Linked DNA regions of Arabidopsis thaliana. The protein of the gene in region 1 purifies or fractionates together with the protein of each later gene. This does not show direct contact. Each region holds a gene or a part of one and is shown on either strand. Other genes may lie near its edges.

Region 1 (5,447 bases):
ATTTAAATCGAGCTATATTTTAAAAAATAATCTAGGTATTTCATAATTATTGGTATGAACCCACAATAATTAATCACAAACAACATGTCGTCAAAGGAAAAACGCAATCACACAGGAAAAAAATGATTGAACTAAATTTCAATTATCTTTTTTTTTTGTCAACAACTAAATGTAAGACGTACGAATTTGTAAACATTAGAAGATAAGATTTATAACATGGTACGTTTCTGCTTGTGTGAAAATTACTAAATGACATTAAAGAAGGTGGATAGAGAAGTGACTAGACATCAGATAATGCATCTGACTGAGATTGATAAGTTTATGTTGATCCTCTTCATTGTCTTCATGATATTTATCATTTGGTACACATAAATTCCCAATTTTTTTTTTGGATTTAAACCGTCTTTCTCGCCCTAAAAAAACTCATCTTTTTATCATTTATCTTAGAATTTGTCAAACAAACAGTGTTTGGCCTATGTCCAACTTTTTTTTGTCTAAGAATTTTTTTATTTATTTTCAGTCCATAGTTAAATTTTTAGTTTAGTTTGAACTTTAATAGAACCCGATTGGTTTTACAAAAACAATCGGTTCAATTTTGGTTTATCGGTACAATCATGACTCAGAGATCTGAGAACCGACTAAGTCAATTACAGAGAAAAAAAGACCGAAGTTCAGACGAAACAACATGAAAAGGATTTGGTTTTAGACTTTTAGTCTTAAAACTAAAGTCTCTTATCTTGTAGCCCAAGTCTCAGACATGATGAACAACAAGCCACGAAAAAGATAAAGAGGGCAGGAAGATAAACAGGGTAGTGTTCAAGTAACATGGACACTTAGTTCTCTTATTGATACAGATCCTTATTGATGAAGAGAAAAGCTGTGTATTTAGACATTAGGAGGTGGCCAAATCTTCCCGAAAAGCTCTTCAACACGTTTCGCTTGGTTCGCATAACCTTCAACACCGGCTGATAAAAGCTCCACTGATGCAGGACCCATAGATGAAGCCAAGCTTAGCTGGTCCCATTTGACCAGCTAAACCAGAATCAAACAAACAGGGTGAGACACTGGTTTAGTGAAACCAGAAGCAAATGAGTGTTGGTTAGCTTCAGAACTAACCTCTTTGTTGGTGAAGTGGTAATGTGTTGCAGTTTCAGGAGTAAGTTTCCGAACAAATGAGTATTTTTCATCATCGGGAATGGCGGGTGAATCTTTAAGAGATTGCAGTACCTTTAATGGTGCAATGACATAATCGACCCTGAGATTGAAGAGAACATTGAAAGTTAGAATGTGATCAGAATCCATTGATGGTCGAAGCTATGATTTGGAAGTTTGAGTTTACCCGAGAAGACTGAACAAGTCTTGTTTGTTCCGGACAGCAGCAGCCATCAGCTTGGACTTGTAACCATACTTGTGAATGTAGTTATATGATCTTTTGACCAAGGCCAAACCAGGATCTTCTCCCGATTTAATAGCAGATTCAATCTCGGTATCTCCCGAATGATTACGCGCCCAATCCTAATGATTTTAAGATATTAACTTTGGCATATCACTGAAATCACTTAGCAGCATCTGTTTAAAAAATGGTTACCCTGAGGCGACCGACGAAAATCTGAATGACAGAAGCACCGGCTTGAGAAGCTGCTGCAGCTTGTGCAAAGCTGTTGATGAATGCAAAACGAAATTATAAAGTAAACAAATCAGATGGATAGACAATTCTAAAATAAAAGAGTCAAAAGGTATGTTTTATGGTACCTGTAAACAAAGGTCATATGCGTTTGGATTCCCTCTGATTCCAACAATCTTGCAGCTTCAATACCCTATGAGAGGGATAAGCACAATACTAAGAGACCAGTAAAAGGTAAAGCTTTGGTATTTGCTGAAAATAATCTTACTTGCCAAGTTGCAGGGATTTTGAATAGGAGCCGGTCGTGTGGTACATCGATTTCATTGTATAGTCTCAGCAGATCATGAACCTACACACATCATCACATCACAAGTTAGTGATTTGAAGATACAGGAGACATATAATCAAATTATCTTATATATATGGTGTAGTAACTACCTTGCGGATAATGCCATTTGTGTCATAAGCAAGACGTGCATCCACTTCAGTAGAAACTCGACCTGGAACGAGTTTGACAAGATCGCCACCTACGTTGACAATAGCCTGCACTTTTCTCATCAGTAATAAGGGCAAAAAAAGCTTTTAAGCAGCAAAGATCTGGAAGTGGAAAAACAGATAAGGGATAAGAAGATCAACCTTATTGAAAAAGCAAGAGAGTCGAGATTCTGTGGTTTCAAGCCCTGCACAAGAAGAATCCGCCAAAGCCATGTCCACAGCATTCTAATCATGATGTAAAAATGTCAAAATTAAATGAGCCCAAAACAAGAGATGTCATATACTATCATCTAAGAATCAAAACTCTTGAAATGCTTACGCGGAAAATGGTATCAGGTAGACCACAGATACCCAGAAGAAGAGCAGAGCTAACAGTAGCTGCAGTCGGCGGAAACCTGCAGATCAGTAAAATACAACAAAGGTATCAATCCAGCACAATTAGAAAACCAAAAGGTTATACTATCTGGTTTTCACAATAACTAAAGGTTAGAAGTTATACTTGTGAGGGAGTGAGTTTTTACATCTTAAGCTAATTTCTTTCTTGTATCCTCGATCCAGAGAAAAACTCAGTACAATCTCAAGTTAAGAATGTCTGACTCCATTTTTATGATATACCAGTGTAACTAAAGTCTCATGAAGTAGAGATATATATCATACCTCTCAAAGTCATCGAAAACGACAGTATCAGGAACAATCTCACTAAAAGCTGAAACAGCATTTAGCTCATTGTTCTCACCTGAAAAAAAAAACACAATTTCATCAAACAACTCAATGATCATCTAAAAGCATTCCAGAAGAAATAAAGTTGAGAACTTTAGGAAAACCGATATCATCCAAGAACAATGTTAAACACCAAATACACAATTTGTTTCTTCAAATTCAACCATAAATCAACACTGTTCAGCTAAGAACTAAAGCAACCAGAAGGTCCTGAACTAAGAAAGGTAAACCAAAAATAGCAACTTTGTCAAGCATAGTTTCCTAACAAGTGACTCAAGACAGTATAAAAACAAACCCACATAAAAAGAAAGCTTGAATCGTAGTCAATCTTTCAAAAACCCATACTTTTGTTTTGTCTTTCCAGAAATCGTATTTATTAATTAATGAGAAACACGATCATCAAAGATATAAACAAATACCAGCTTCGAGAGACGAAGACGCAGGAGAGGAGGAGGAACTAGCGGAAGCAAGAATCCGAGGAATCGATCGCCGAAGACTGAAGTTAACGGCGGGAAGAGGAGTAACGGAGAATCCGGCGGCGAGCGTCTTCCATCGTCCCTTCTGCGAAGTTCAAAGCTCGCATCCATTAGATAAAAAACAAACAATGCACAAATACATGCGATTGAAAGAAGTAAGCGAAGAGGAGAGTACTCGGATTGAAGCAGAGAGAGTTGCACAAGGCGGAGATTGCAACGAGAGTGGCATTTTTTTCGCTGAAGTTGATCTGAGTAAGCAGATCCAGCCGTTGATATCTTCCAATTAACGTGGGTCCCGCCTTTTCTAATTTATCCGAAAACTGTCAACGAGATAAGACAGTTAATTATTATTTTATTACAATGGTTAGGAACTTGCAAGTTTTTATTCATTTTCTCATGAGTCTCTGTGTAATGTTTCTATGAAGCCGAAACAAACACTCATCGTTTAGAGAAAGAGATAAGTACAAATCCAATGATCACTAACCAAAAGAACGATGAGAACGGTTATGCAAACAAGAAGAGACAAGGAAGAGATTTACACACCGGCAAATGTCTTTAGACCATGACAACAAAAGTTTGTAGAAGAAAGTGAAGTTCATTATGTTTCTCTCCACCGCCACCTGGATGAAGGTAAGAAACGGAGTTGAGTTGCTTGGTCCTCCCATTCAACCCTTTCTATCCATTCTCTCTCTCCATAATATATGACAAGTTCTTCACCCGCGATCCCACTTTTAGAATCCAATGGAAGCTTTCTCAGCTTTTCACATTTTTCTACGTGGATAACTTTCAGACACGGAAAATGCAGAGCCTTTGCATAGATTCTCTTGAGCCCGCGTAATTCAAACAGGTGTAGTGTCTCCAATTTCCTAAAAGGAACAATCGTAGCTGAATGCTCCTCAGCTTTCTCTTCACTAATTATATCCTCTACTTCCTTTGAGAACCCAACTTCAAGAAAAGTAAGATTAGGAGCAAACAAAAGCCACGTCAAATCCTTAAGACCATGGCATTTAGCTATAAAGACTCTGGAGAGGTTTGAGAAGCATGGAGTTGTGGGACTTTTGTTCCGAGACGATGATGAAGTTGTCCTCTCTATCTTTATCTCCCTCATTCCACATCTTTTTATCCCGAGCTTGCGGAGATTACCCATGGTTGGCAAAGTCAATACTCTCACTGATTCTTCCTTAAGGTACTTAAAATCTACCTCTTTTATACATTCCACCAACCTTTGAGAGCATAACAATGGCTCTGCAACCAAACTTGATGATATATCTAGGGTTATAACTTCTAGATGTTCTAAGAGCTGCAGCTCCTTCACTAAACTCATATCTAGCAACAGTCTGGAATCTCGTAGTCCCAATGTCCTCAAATTCCACAAATTTGATATCCCTAATATACTCCCAAGACTGCTCATGTGTTCGAGATTCAGATGTATTAGCTTTTTCAATGTCCATAAACCAACGGGTAGTTGATGTATACATGTATATGACAAGTTGAAATATCTCAAAGAGGCCAGCTCTGATATTTCTTCTGGTAATTCATTAAGACTCTGATTCTCTGATAGATCTAAAACCACCAGATGAGGCATACATCGAAAGAATTCAGCCGAGATCTTTACCACGTCGTTCTTTTGGAGAAATAGAGTTGTAAGTGCAGCACACTCGTGACTGTCAAATATCTCTTCAATCTCATTATTCATCAAAGAAATCTTTCTCACAGTGTTCCAATCCTTGACTTTTGGTACTTCACGTAACCCAACACCAGCTCGCACAATACATTTCTCCTTTTGCTTCCCAAGATCGGATGATATCCATAGAGCCATCTCACGAACCACATCATGCATTTTCACGTTTGATTTGTTCCTTTCTTCCTCCAACAACAAACATGCACGGACAAGGGTACCAATTATCTCATAACCTTGGTTAATATTCCTCTCTCTGCCTTCTTTTTCATTTATGAATCCCTCACTTATCCAGTAGTCTACCAACCCCTCTTTATCAATAAGATAGTCTTCAGGAAACAGAGAGCAATAGAGGAAGCAGGATTTCATCAGCTCCCCATTTAAATTATCATAGCTATACTTCAAAACATGGAGAATTTCATCTTCCATACCTGAAAAATCTATGGCAGATGAT
Region 2 (6,830 bases), on another chromosome or scaffold:
GAATTACGACTCCCCAAGAACCGGTTTGCGATGATCATCAGCCGGTCAACAGGCTTTCGGGTTTCACCGGTTTACTAGCAAACGGAGGAAACCACCAGGTGAAAGAAGAGTGGGGATCAGGTGATCAGAGTACTTCGAACACAAACACGTACTTTGATCTAGAAGGTTTAATTCAAGATGTCGGAGAAGATTACTTCTCTTCGTTTCCCATGAGATCCTCTTCTTCTTCACAAGTCGAAGGTTTCATCTTCAACAACAACAACAACAACAACAACAACAACAACAACAACAACAACAACAACACCAACTTCGATACAAAGGCTCATAATTCGTCTTAATTAATAACAGATTAATTTCTAGGGTTTTCAATCTTATTGATTCTGCAAATCGCATTTGGTGAGATGAGATCTAATCGCAACGATAAGGTCATATTTTGTGGGAGAAAAAAGGCATAGAAGTTGTATATAGATATAACAAATGGGTATGATGAGAGACATAAACTTTTGGCGGGACTGACTTTGCCAAGGTTGAGAGTTGTGATGAAGAGAGTTTAATCTACGTGCAGCCCTTCTAGGAGAAGTGGCTGTATCTAATTAAGATGTGGTCGGTCAAAAAAGCCCTAGTTTTATTATGTAACTTCATTGATGTGCTATTATTGGATGTGTATTAATTCTTTGGTGTGCAGATAAATGTGATGATTGCTGTACTTTAATTTTGGGGAAAAAGTTTGTATGGAATTAGAACAAGGATCGACTTGTTTTCGATATAGATACTCTGATTGATTGTGTATATTGAATATCGATACTTACATAACGGTTATTCGGTTAAAGTACAGTTACACTAATTAAATTAAACTGTAAGTTAACAAGAATATTCTGGCTCAAGCTAAATTATTTTTTTTATTATTATTGTTTACTAATCTTTTGTTACAAATGTTGAAAATGATATTTATTATACATGTAGTACTTCAACTAAAATAAATAACGTGTTTTCATATTTGATGTACGTGTATAATATATCATTTTCAACAGTGAGTAATATTAACCCTTTTATCAAAATAAAGTAAAACAAAATGATATAACCTATCAACAAAATGCAAAGAAAATTGATCCGAACCGAATATAGCCGTAACGGTACACCAAAATTGTTTTGAGATTTTAGTGTCCGTTGACCTTTTCATATAAAGCCAAATTATTCGGTCTGGTTTCCAAAAGAACGAAAAGGTATATGATTACGGTTTACTCCCTTGCTTCTGTGTTTTGGTTTAGTTTGGTTTACCTTCTCAAAGTTCTCGAACGTCAACATTTATTTTATCTTATTTTGTAAGGTTCTGCACATGTTATACTTATTAATTAGTCTACTTTTTCAGGCATTGGGATTATTTGTTTTAGTCTAAATCGGTTTTGGTTGCATAATATTGGATGAAAACATTGTAAAGGACAATTTCAAACCTGACTTTTCTAGATTTGGAAACGTTCCGGCTGCTTGAAAAGCTCACATAAATATTAGTATGATTTCTTAAACCAAAAATAAATGATGATTATCAACAATACCGTAAATAAGGCAAAGGAAATAAATGATGATTATCAACAATTGCCGAAAATAACCACACCGGTACACCGAAATTGTTTTTGAGATTCATAAAACCGGAATAATACGCCTAAAGGTTATTTTCTCCAATACCGGTTTAGTTTGGTTTGCCTTCTCAAAGTACTCGAAGGTCAAAATTGGAATTTAGTAATAAACCTGCTCCAGCTATATACAAATGTCATTTGCTCACCTTTCGCCGATTGATTTTGTACATCACACGCAGACGCAGCTTTTAGTATTTTTTTCAACAATCGCTTTTTTTTTTCTCGATCTCCGTGAAGCTCTCGAATCTCTGGTATGTTTCTTCGCTTCTTCATAGTGTTTCTCATTTCCTTTTGGTCTTCCATAATTTTCGGAGAATCTAGTCCTGTTTTTCTCTTCTTCTGGAATCTGAATTCGCCGGTGAATTCCGCTGATCGAATCTCTGAGTTTTGTTGAATTATTTGATTCGGCGATAAAACTTTTTTTGTTTGTTTCTGATTTTGGTGAGTGTTGATTGCTTGAGTTTTTTCACGGATCGATTTGTTTTGAGAATTGGGTGGATACTGTCTGTCACAGGTTTTGAGTTTTGGAGAATGGTGTTTTTCCGCAGCGTATCGGCCTTTACTAGGCTGAGGTCTCGCGTCGTAAGTATTTGAAAATTTTGTTTCCAGTTTTGTGTTTGTTCTCGTTTGATCTCGCTGGTTCATGCTAATCGATTGATTGGTGATCGAATCTATGTAAGCAGGGCCAACAATCTTCACTCAGCAATTCTGTCAGATGGATTCAGATGCAGAGCTCTACCGACCTGGTAAATCATCTCCGTTGCTTCGTACTTTCGTGTGTGATCGTGATCATGTAGTTTTCATGATCATGATCATATGTAAGTTTAATATTGGTTTGGGATCTGCTGCTTGTGGGGTCTTTGTTCATTTTGTTTAAATGGTGGCAATGCAGGACCTGAAGTCGCAGCTGCAAGAGTTAATTCCGGAACAGCAGGTTAGATTAGACTCTGTTTGCTTTAAATGAAAATTTGTGTTGTTGACTTTTTTTTTTCATTGAATGTGTGTATTATTTGTTATGTTAGCTGAGATTGTTAAGTTAAGAAGGCAGGCTAGTTGTAGTGAATCTCTTTGCTTTTCTAGTTTCCTCTTTTCTCACAAGAATTTTCCAATTTCAGGACCGTCTGAAGAAACTGAAGTCAGAACATGGGAAGGTCCAACTGGGAAACATCACTGTTGATATGGTAGAAACAATCATGATTTTCACGTTTTTGGTTTGTTTATATGATTTTCACCTTCCATTGCATAACTCATCATAATCCCCTTTGAAATAAAGGTTATTGGTGGAATGAGAGGGATGACTGGATTGCTTTGGGAAACCTCATTGCTTGACCCGGAAGAGGTACTGTATAACTCTCTGTATATAGTTACAATAGCTTGGTTAGATCCTAGATATAGAATATATCAAATGCTCCTCCTTCCTGTTCTAAGGCTGTTGATGCAATTATCTTATCATTATTTCAGGGTATTCGCTTTAGGGGATTGTCGATTCCTGAGTGCCAGAAAGTATTACCTACTGCCCAGTCTGGAGCTGAACCATTACCGGAGGGTCTTTTGTGGCTTCTCTTAACTGGAAAGGTGTGGCTCTTCTGTACATTATTATAAGTTGGTTCTGGATATGTCCAGTCGATTAGTTTTCCTCAATAGATTATCTTATGATATCCTTTTTTACCCTTTTTCGTATAGGTACCTAGCAAAGAGCAAGTTGAAGCACTGTCGAAAGACTTGGCGAACCGTGCTGCTGTGCCAGGTTTGGATATTACCTTTTTCGCTCTGGCTGTTGCAAATAAAGGAGTCTGTTTATTGGCTCATTCAAACTTGTTTGACATCAATGCTTACAAGAAATTGCTTAACAGAAATGAAATAAATTTGTGGGTTTTGTGTTATACTTTCATTCATTCTTAACTTGTATCCAATTTTTATACAGATTATGTGTACAATGCCATCGATGCTCTGCCTTCCACAGCTCATCCAATGACTCAATTTGCTAGCGGTGTTATGGCCCTCCAGGTGTGGTTCTCTAAACTCGTATTGTTGTTTCTGTTCTTCTTGTGATAAGCGTTGGAAACTTATTGTTTTTTTTGGCTATAAGTAAACAATTTTCAGCAGAATGATAATTTTCTTTACCTAATATCCAGGTGCAAAGTGAGTTTCAAAAGGCATATGAGAATGGAATTCATAAGTCAAAGTATGCTTTTGGGGTTCTGATTTAGTTCATGATAGCGTTTCATATTAGCTGGCATCATAACAAAGATTTTTTCTTCCAGGTTCTGGGAGCCAACATATGAGGATTGCCTCAACCTGATTGCTCGTGTTCCTGTTGTAGCTGCATATGTTTATCGAAGGTTAGTGAAGACTCTTTTTGTACTCTTTTTCATGTTTCTTGTAGCTTCTGGATTTTCGGCAATGATTTTTTTTTTATTGGAAAATTTGCCATCTCTTGTTTTTGCTTTGTATTGACTGTTGACCTTTTCCATGCATCATTGCAGGATGTATAAGAATGGTGATTCCATTCCCTCAGATAAATCTTTGGATTATGGTGCAAATTTTTCCCACATGTTGGGATTTGATGATGAAAAGGTGAAAGAGCTCATGAGGCTTTACATCACCATCCACAGGTCTGTATTAATTTTCGTCACCCATGCATGTCTCCTTAAATAAGCTTAATTATCTTGTAAATTTGTTTGTTCTTTTTAAGACTTTAAATAGACCTTTGTATAACATTTTGCTTTTCTACTATTTTTTGCTCTAGTGATCATGAAGGTGGAAATGTTAGTGCTCACACTGGTCACCTGGTATGTATATACTCTCCATGTGTCAATTTTAAAGGATTGACCTACCTGAAGTTTCTAATGGTTCTTTTGCTAAAAATTCTTGTTCATGTAGGTTGGTAGTGCACTTTCAGACCCATATCTGTCATTTGCAGCTGCATTAAATGGTTTAGCTGGGCCACTCCATGGTTTGGCTAATCAGGTATCCTCCCTTGTCTATATCTTGAATAAGTCTTAAATCTTCAATCTACAATAGAGCTTCGTAAGTGGCTTTTTGTATTTTATCTAGGTAGGTTGTGATAGTTTGATGATACAACCATAAATTGGAGAAAACAAATTCTTAGTCTTTTTTTATTATTGTTTCAACAGGAAGTTTTGCTTTGGATCAAATCAGTCGTAGAGGAATGTGGAGAAGATATATCAAAAGAACAGTTGAAAGAATATGTTTGGAAAACATTAAACAGTGGCAAGGTAAAAACAGGAAATTCCTCTGCCTTGACATTCTTTACTTTCTGGTCTTGTACCTGAATCCCACTTTTGAAGCCAGCCAACAAGACTGATGGAGCATGCGAAAATGAATTAACATCTTGTCTACTAGTCATCATAATAGGCTAATATTTCAATTTATTGTGTGATACTGTTATGGGTCCTCTTATTTACGACCTCATAGTTTGGTCAGTTGCTCTAACTGCTCCTAGTAAGTAATACTGCCATAAGAGCTTTGGATCCTGTTTTTCCCTATCCTAGTTTACCTTGTGGATGTAATGTTACAAGGATAGTCTAATGATGATCTATTGACGAGTCTTGTTTTGTCTCTAGGTTATTCCGGGATATGGTCACGGTGTTCTGCGCAATACTGATCCAAGATATGTATGCCAAAGAGAATTTGCCTTGAAGCATCTACCTGACGACCCTCTTTTCCAGCTGGTACTTTTTTTCTTTCTCTTTTCTCTTTTCTGTTCGGTTCTCAAAATTCTATCAATGTTCAGTAGCTAACAAAATCCTTCCAACTCTGTAGGTGTCAAAGCTTTATGAAGTTGTGCCTCCTGTTCTCACTGAGCTTGGAAAGGTAGTATCTCTATCCTTCGTTTACCATGGTGATCCTTCAATATTCCACCAACAACTCCACAACACCTTACCTACATGCTAGGGGCTTATGAATCTCTTGCGAATCAATTTTTTATTTACTTGCGAATCCGATGATGGCTTGTTACAGGTGAAGAACCCGTGGCCAAATGTTGATGCTCACAGTGGGGTCTTGCTGAACCACTATGGTCTAACCGAAGCAAGGTAAGAAGTAGACACCTCCTTCAAGTATCATTGAGCCTTAGGATAGCACTCAAATATAATATCTGTGCGTTTTATAGGTACTACACCGTGCTCTTTGGTGTTTCAAGGAGTCTTGGCATCTGCTCTCAGGTAACATATATATATTTACACATTACGCCTTTGTTACTACATAACATTTAAAACAGAACTCATATGCTCTCCATTCTCATTTGTGTTTAATTCACAGCTTATATGGGACCGAGCTCTTGGACTTGCACTTGAGAGGCCAAAGAGTGTTACCATGGACTGGCTTGAAGCCCATTGTAAGAAAGCTTCATCTGCTTAAGTCACCACCGAGTCCTGAGTTGTCGCACTCTCTCGTGTTTCAACAAAAGTCATTCTCTTCCACACTGGATAGCTTTTTTTGTTTTTACCTTCTATTGACAGAAGAAACATTTGTTCATGTAGAAATTGTTCCTGAGAAACACATGCTTGGTGCAAATTTGCATTTCCGGGAAACTCGTGATAATAAATAAACAGTTGTATTCAGTTTGCGTAAAAATCAAACATCAATATCACTCATGAATTAAAGCTTATCTTGGTTTTGATATACATAAAAGAAACAAGACTGCAAAATAGAAAACTTCGACATGAGTTTATCAAAAAGAAAATGGGATTAAGAGCTGCTGGTATTGTCGGTAGTAGTCTCCTTGTTAGAAAGGTCATCATCATCAGCAAGAGAGGCTGTGAAGTTGAGTCTCTCTTCGGCGCCGGCAGTGATAACCGGCATCCAAACATCAGCTGTGCCGCTAAGAAGCGTCTGAACCTGTGGATCAGAAGCTATAGCTGATGATATCATCTCATCCACATCATCTAACTTTGCTGATAACTTGTCCAATTCCTTAGCTATCTCCACCTGAAAACACAAACAATCACACACAAAGCCTCAGATTTACATTACAATGTGTACCAGATATATGAGTGAACACAGGATACAGACCTCATTGAGGTGTTGAGCAGACTTTGATGGCACTTTAGTGACTTCTAAACCAAGAGCTTCAATCTTAGAACGTAGCTCAACCTCTTCTGTATTTGTCAATGATTCTACCTAAGAAACAAAAATCATCAGTAGGCAACAAAATCATCTGTATTTGTCAAT
Region 3 (5,873 bases), on another chromosome or scaffold:
GTCCATCACATACTTGAGTTGGAATTGTATGTTTCTCTTGCACCACTGGACTGGCCATGACAAGGAAGACTAGGATATGTTCTAATAATATATTTCCTGTCCTAGCTAGAAACCTCTGCTCTCGGTTTCTAATAATTCTCGGTAACAGGATCCAGCGACTCCTCTGAAAGTTAGAGAAAACTTGTGAGGAAGAAGACTCAAAATCAATTTCGCATTTCTGGCTTTTTGTGATTACGAAGAGTCTTATACTTAGCCAAATATCTGAAGGTTTAGAAGAGAACACGTTGCATCTTACTGTTCACTGAAGATAGCAAATGTGTTTTGTAGAATCATCATAAAGCTTCGTAGGGAGCTTCTTAAGATAGGAGGAAGCTTCTGTTTGATCCCGAGGCTTTGAATTTCTTGACTCTGCTTCTGTTCACTTCAAACACTCTGTTTGAGCGGGACTGGTTGCATGAGTATTGTTTATTATGCGATAATTCACCAAAGACTAATCAATACATATCAATGGTCATCATTTGTCTATCAAAGTTGAGGAACAATAATATGGTGTCTCAATCTGAGAAAGACTGTTTCTTTACTTGTTTGACTTTATTGTTTTTGCAGAAGAACCAAAATGAAAACTCTGTAGAACAAAATTTCGACGAAAAATCGTTTTTTTTTTATCTCTAAAAGCTACCCAATCAAATGGAAGAGAAGGCTGAAGTGATAAAAGAGAGAACCTTGACCAACATCAGTCAGGGATTAACTTAGCGGTTCAAGCGCGTGAAGTTATCGAGCCAGTCCATGTTTACACTCTTTGGTCTCTCAAGTGGCAGTCCAAGTGCCCTGTCCCATATCAGCTGAAACAGAAAAGGAATAAAAGATTAGTCTGACTTTATTGTGAAGGATATGGCGATACGTACTAAAATCGAATTGTCGATGGCATGAATGTATGTATGTACCTGCGAGCAGATTCCAAGACTTCTTGAGACGCCAAAAAGCACCGTGTAGTATCTATATTTGAAAGGAATGTCACTCTATAATAACCAAGATTCAGCAAAACAAGGTCAAAGCCTCGATACACAAGTAGTTCCTACCTTGCTTCGGTTAGACCATAGTAGTTCAGAAGCACTCCGCTATGAGCATCAACGTTAGGCCACGGGTTCTTGACCTGATACAGCAATTTCAAGATTCATAAAACCAGAGAAAATCAGAAAATCTGGTAGCACATGAAATGAATGAGTATAAGTAGTACCTTTCCCAGCTCGGTTAGAATAGGAGGCACCACTTCATAAAGTTTTGAGACCTATAGACTTGCATAATTTGTGAGCCAGTAAAATTTTAAAGCATGACCAAAGATTTGAGGGGGAAAAAAAGTTACCAGCTGAAAAAGAGGATCATCAGGTAGATGCTTCAAGGCAAACTCTCTTTGGCATATATATCTTGGATCCGTTTTACGCAAAACACCATGGCCATATCCTGGAACAACCTGCAAGACAAATGTTTATTTAAGTTTCCTGACAACATTCACAGGCAAACCCCATAATCAAAACATAATCCGAAGCTTTTATTCATTATTTATACAATAATTCAAGTTATGGCCTGTCATGATTAGCATGCAATACATATGGATAGTTTCAAAAGGCAAAGCAGAGCATAATTTTGTCAACCTTGCCACTGTTTAACGTTTTCCAGACATAATCTTTTAGCTGTTCCTTTGATATACTTTCTCCACATTCCTCAACAACTAATTTGATCCACAGCAAAACTTCCTACAACAAGACAACGAAAAAAAACAGAGTAAGATTCCAAGTTTAAGCTTATAATTAAGAGTCAATCTTAGAGTTCAAGTTATATACACTTGTAGATTCGAACAATATAAGACTCATTAAGGATATAAATACCTGATTAGCCAAACCATGGAGTGGCCCAGCTAAACCATTCAATGCAGCAGCAAATGAAAGATATGGATCTGAAAGTGCACTCCCAACCTAAGTGAAGAAACATCATTAGCCAAAAACAGAACCATCAGAAATGTCTATAAGTTCAAAACATTATCATGCATCAAGATCATGTGGCAAATACATACCAGGTGACCAGCGTGAGCACTAACATTTCCACCTTCATGATCACTAAAACAGAAACCAGTAGACAAGGGAAAAAAAAACCTTGATCATGCTATAGAAATTTGGTAAGAGTTGGTAAAATAAAGGAAGATCATCATTATATACAAGAAAACTTTAGCTTATGTATTCTAATTAATGAGACATGTTGAAACGAAGAGAACCAGGACTAACCTGTGGATAGTGACATAAAGCCTCATGAGCTCTTTCATCTGAGGACTATCAAATCCCAGCATGTGTGAAAAATTTGCACCATAATCCAAAGAATCATCTAATGGAATGATGCTACCATCCTTGTACATCCTGCAATGTGAATTAGAATGGACATTGAAAAATAACACTCTGAAGAAAGGAAAATCTAAGAAAATTAACTAGTCCAGGAAGCTAAAAGCATTGGAAAAGATCCTAAAATTTAACCTCCGATAAACGTATGAAGCTACAACAGGAACACGAGCAATCAAGTTTAGGGCATCTTCGAAGGTTGGTTCCCAGTACCTGACAAGAAACCTCAGTTTCTATGATGCCTACTACTATAAGCCAATCAAGAAACAAAGTATAGAACTATTGAAAGTTTATACTTTGACTTAGAAATATCACCCTGCTCATACGCCTTTTGAAACTCACTTTGAACCTGAATAACAATCAACAAGATAAGATGCTCCTGAAAATAAACAAATTCTAAGAGAATGCATAGAAAAAAAAAATAGTACATAACAGAGCAATCCACCTGAAGGGCCATAACACCACTAGCAAATTGAGTCATTGGATGAGCTGTTGAAGGCAAAGCATCTATAGCTTTGTATATATAATCTGCAATGGAGAGTTGTTATATTTGCAACATCATAATATCCAGTTTATAATTATCATCAGCTTGTATTTTGCTAAGTTTTGATGAGTCATGAAACTGAGGTCATAAACAAACAGAGCCTAGAGGTGAACTACAAACCTGGCACAGCCGCACGATGAGCCAACTCTGTTGACAAAGCATTAGCTTGCTCTTTAGTTGGCACCTATACCGAAAGGAGGGAAAACTATACTTTAGATCATTCATATATAAAGTTGAAACTTATTGTATGTATAAAATGTTTTAAGATTATCACACCTTTCCAGTTAATAGAAGCCACAGAAGACTCTCAGGCAAGGGCTCTTCTCCAGACTCAGCTGAAGGTAATATTTTCTGACATTCAGGAATCGACATGCCTCTAAACCGTATTCCCTGATACAAAAGATAATATCATATGTTATATAATTCTAATTCAAGATCTGACCTGAAAATTATCTATGTGATCAAAATTATAACCATACCTCATCTGCATCAAGCAATGAGGTTTCCCAGAGTAATCCAGTCATCCCTCTCATTCCACCAAGTACCTTCACAAATACCACATGTAAAACTATATATACGAGTATGTTTAAAAGATAAAGCCTTTGTGTAATCACAAATATCATTAGAATCCGTACCATATCAACGGTGATGTTCCCCACTGGAACCTTTCCTTGTTCTGATTTCAGTTTCTTCAAACGGTCCTGAAAGTTGAAAGTTGTGTTTGTGTATGAGAAATGACATCAACTAAAACAGAGAGAAGAGCTTGATCTCTACATGAAATCTGCCCTAAAATTAGAAACAATCTCAATCACAACGAAGTAGAAACTAAACCTGTTGTTCTGGAATGATCTCTTGCATCTGCGACTTCAAGTCCTGCATTACCATCATTTTAAGCAACATCAACACAAAACCTAGAAGGTAAAATTCCAAATTTTTGGTTCTCAAACTGAACCGCATGATCACGAGAACATGAAAACCTAAGAAAGTACCAATTCAGAAGAGTGGAGCCATCTGACGGAGTTACTAAGTGAGGATTGTTGCACCTGTGCTTCTTATATTAGATCTGATCATCAAATTGTATCACATCAAACAAAACACAAAAAGGATGAAAGCTAAATCTACTCACTGCTCGAGACCGTAGTCTTGAAATGGCTGATACGCTGCGAAAAAACACCATTCTTTCAAACCTCACAACACTGATCGGTTACGAATCCAAACAATCAAGATTGGCTTAACCAGATAAGAGATAAAGGGAAAGAGAAAGCGTGGAGAAGAACTAACGGGAAATTCGAAAGTTTCTTCAACGTAGAGAGAAAAATTGAGAGATGTTGAGATATATCTGCAACGTGATGAACAAGCGTCAAATTACAACATATGTAAACCAAACACACGGATTCTTCTTACCAAACCGGTATAATGAACCAATTGATTACCATTTAGAAAACCAAACGAACAGGTTATGTTCGGGTTCGGTTGAGATTGGTTAGTTCCGTCGGTCCGTGAGACGCAAGATTCGAAGCAGCCGTAACGATTCTAATGCCTAAAAAAACGGTCATTAATAAATAAAGAACAAATGGTATGTAGCTTTTGCTGTTGCTAAATAAAAAAGTAGCTTCTTGGTAAAGTCCAAGGGTTTAGATAAAACATAATTTTATTTTGTTGGAAATAAATAAAGTAAAAATGACATTTCACAATTGAAAAAAAAAGTTATAAACTTCGTTATTATAATTTCTTGGTCGAATGGGCGGTTTGATATTCTTCATTCTCCATTAGTTATCAGAAATTTTTATATTCTTTTGAAATACTATTTAATGATGTAACACAACTATTAACAATGATGGATATAGCTATAGCTAGTTAATATTAAAACATTGGATATCATATTATATGACACTATTGATCGTTATGTCATCCAAAAAATAAACTGATATTTCAATGAATGAGATTGGAAAAATATGACATATATCCATTACAACTCATTATAATCATATTACCATATCATTTTAATGTTTATGAAATGTGAGTCCACCTTTCATAATCTAACGTTTTGAGAAGTTAAAATGTAATTTAGCCATAAAGTTTTGAAGGTATATATCAAGAACATCGCCAATAAAACAGAACTTTATTCATTTATATATTCAAATCGAAACTCTTTTAGAGTCATGTAAGAATCATTTATCATTATAGTATTTCGTTAATTCAGTTTAATGGAATTCATTTTTGTTTTATCAAACAATTTGTTGTAAGTAACATGACTTATATATGAATTAACAAACAAAATAATTTGACGAAAAAAAATGAACAATCTAAAAAATTCAATCACAATATCATTCTCGCTTTTCTATATATAAAACTTGCACACGCACGCGTGAGTACAACGTTACACCATTTTTAAGTAGAGTTTTCACATGATCGGAGATCAAAACACAAACTTACTTTTTCTTGGCAAAATCAGTCTACAAACTCATCACTACACTCTTTCTTGGTAAATTAAGTCAGTCTAACAAATTAAATCAAAGGGCACCCAAGCCCAAAAAATCCAAACATTTGTACATATATACAAGTTATGTATGTTCCTACCTATATAGATGATCATCGTCTCAACCTTGGTCTTGTCTTGACCCATGTCTTGTTATGCTCCATATCGAATAAATGATCAAATCATCATCAAAACCAACAGGACTTACGATTAGTAGAAACCCTACATATTAGGGTAAGGTGTGACCAAACTAATTATTGTTGTTGAAGATCAAACCATCGACTTGAGAATATGTTGTCGTCTTCATCAAGATCGATCAAACCGTCAAAATCAAAGTAAGTATTTGTGTTTGAACTTGATCCCCATTCTTCCTTCACCACGTGGCTCCCTATTATTCTGTTGTCCAGTTCAGCCGTATGTTCTTGGCCGGAATCTTGAGGCAAACCCGGTGGCGCAGGAAAAT

Evidence for each region.
Region 2: the proteins of AT1G12230 (region 1) and ATCS fractionate together in Arabidopsis thaliana (co-fractionation; one large-scale study listed by BioGRID). This does not show direct contact.
Region 3: the proteins of AT1G12230 (region 1) and CSY5 fractionate together in Arabidopsis thaliana (co-fractionation; one large-scale study listed by BioGRID). This does not show direct contact.

Annotation. Positions count from the first base shown.
Region 1 is NC_003070.9:4,146,147-4,151,593, reverse strand, and holds AT1G12230 (Aldolase superfamily protein), read right to left. Parts: upstream 3,633-5,447; 5' UTR 3,545-3,632; coding exon 3,491-3,544; intron 3,401-3,490; coding exon 3,259-3,400; intron 2,856-3,258; coding exon 2,777-2,855; intron 2,685-2,776; coding exon 2,619-2,684; intron 2,515-2,618; coding exon 2,439-2,514; intron 2,345-2,438; coding exon 2,261-2,344; intron 2,168-2,260; coding exon 2,063-2,167; intron 1,974-2,062; coding exon 1,893-1,973; intron 1,818-1,892; coding exon 1,753-1,817; intron 1,659-1,752; coding exon 1,589-1,658; intron 1,516-1,588; coding exon 1,340-1,515; intron 1,256-1,339; coding exon 1,117-1,255; intron 1,033-1,116; coding exon 886-1,032; 3' UTR 538-885; downstream 1-537. Other genes in the region: RPS5 (Disease resistance protein (CC-NBS-LRR class) family), read right to left, coding at 3,914-5,447.
Region 2 is NC_003071.7:18,314,508-18,321,337, forward strand, and holds ATCS (Citrate synthase family protein), read left to right. Parts: upstream 1-1,770; 5' UTR 1,771-1,885; intron 1,886-1,912; exon of another isoform or gene 1,913-2,075; intron 2,076-2,148; 5' UTR 2,149-2,165; coding exon 2,166-2,216; intron 2,217-2,314; coding exon 2,315-2,380; intron 2,381-2,526; coding exon 2,527-2,568; intron 2,569-2,749; coding exon 2,750-2,815; intron 2,816-2,907; coding exon 2,908-2,973; intron 2,974-3,095; coding exon 3,096-3,209; intron 3,210-3,317; coding exon 3,318-3,381; intron 3,382-3,558; coding exon 3,559-3,641; intron 3,642-3,769; coding exon 3,770-3,819; intron 3,820-3,898; coding exon 3,899-3,976; intron 3,977-4,120; coding exon 4,121-4,249; intron 4,250-4,383; coding exon 4,384-4,426; intron 4,427-4,517; coding exon 4,518-4,604; intron 4,605-4,771; coding exon 4,772-4,873; intron 4,874-5,221; coding exon 5,222-5,329; intron 5,330-5,420; coding exon 5,421-5,471; intron 5,472-5,618; coding exon 5,619-5,692; intron 5,693-5,769; and 5 more. Other genes in the region: AT2G44340 (VQ motif-containing protein), read left to right, coding at 1-338; AT2G44360 (ecotropic viral integration site protein), read right to left, coding at 6,348-6,587, 6,672-6,779.
Region 3 is NC_003074.8:22,191,123-22,196,995, reverse strand, and holds CSY5 (citrate synthase 5), read right to left. Parts: upstream 4,267-5,873; 5' UTR 4,109-4,266; coding exon 4,058-4,108; intron 3,975-4,057; coding exon 3,921-3,974; intron 3,805-3,920; coding exon 3,763-3,804; intron 3,633-3,762; coding exon 3,567-3,632; intron 3,477-3,566; coding exon 3,411-3,476; intron 3,322-3,410; coding exon 3,208-3,321; intron 3,116-3,207; coding exon 3,052-3,115; intron 2,916-3,051; coding exon 2,833-2,915; intron 2,737-2,832; coding exon 2,684-2,736; intron 2,601-2,683; coding exon 2,523-2,600; intron 2,409-2,522; coding exon 2,280-2,408; intron 2,115-2,279; coding exon 2,072-2,114; intron 1,974-2,071; coding exon 1,887-1,973; intron 1,755-1,886; coding exon 1,653-1,754; intron 1,472-1,652; coding exon 1,364-1,471; intron 1,289-1,363; coding exon 1,238-1,288; intron 1,154-1,237; coding exon 1,080-1,153; intron 997-1,079; coding exon 945-996; intron 843-944; coding exon 750-842; 3' UTR 549-749; and 1 more. Other genes in the region: AT3G60090 (VQ motif-containing protein), read right to left, coding at 5,665-5,873.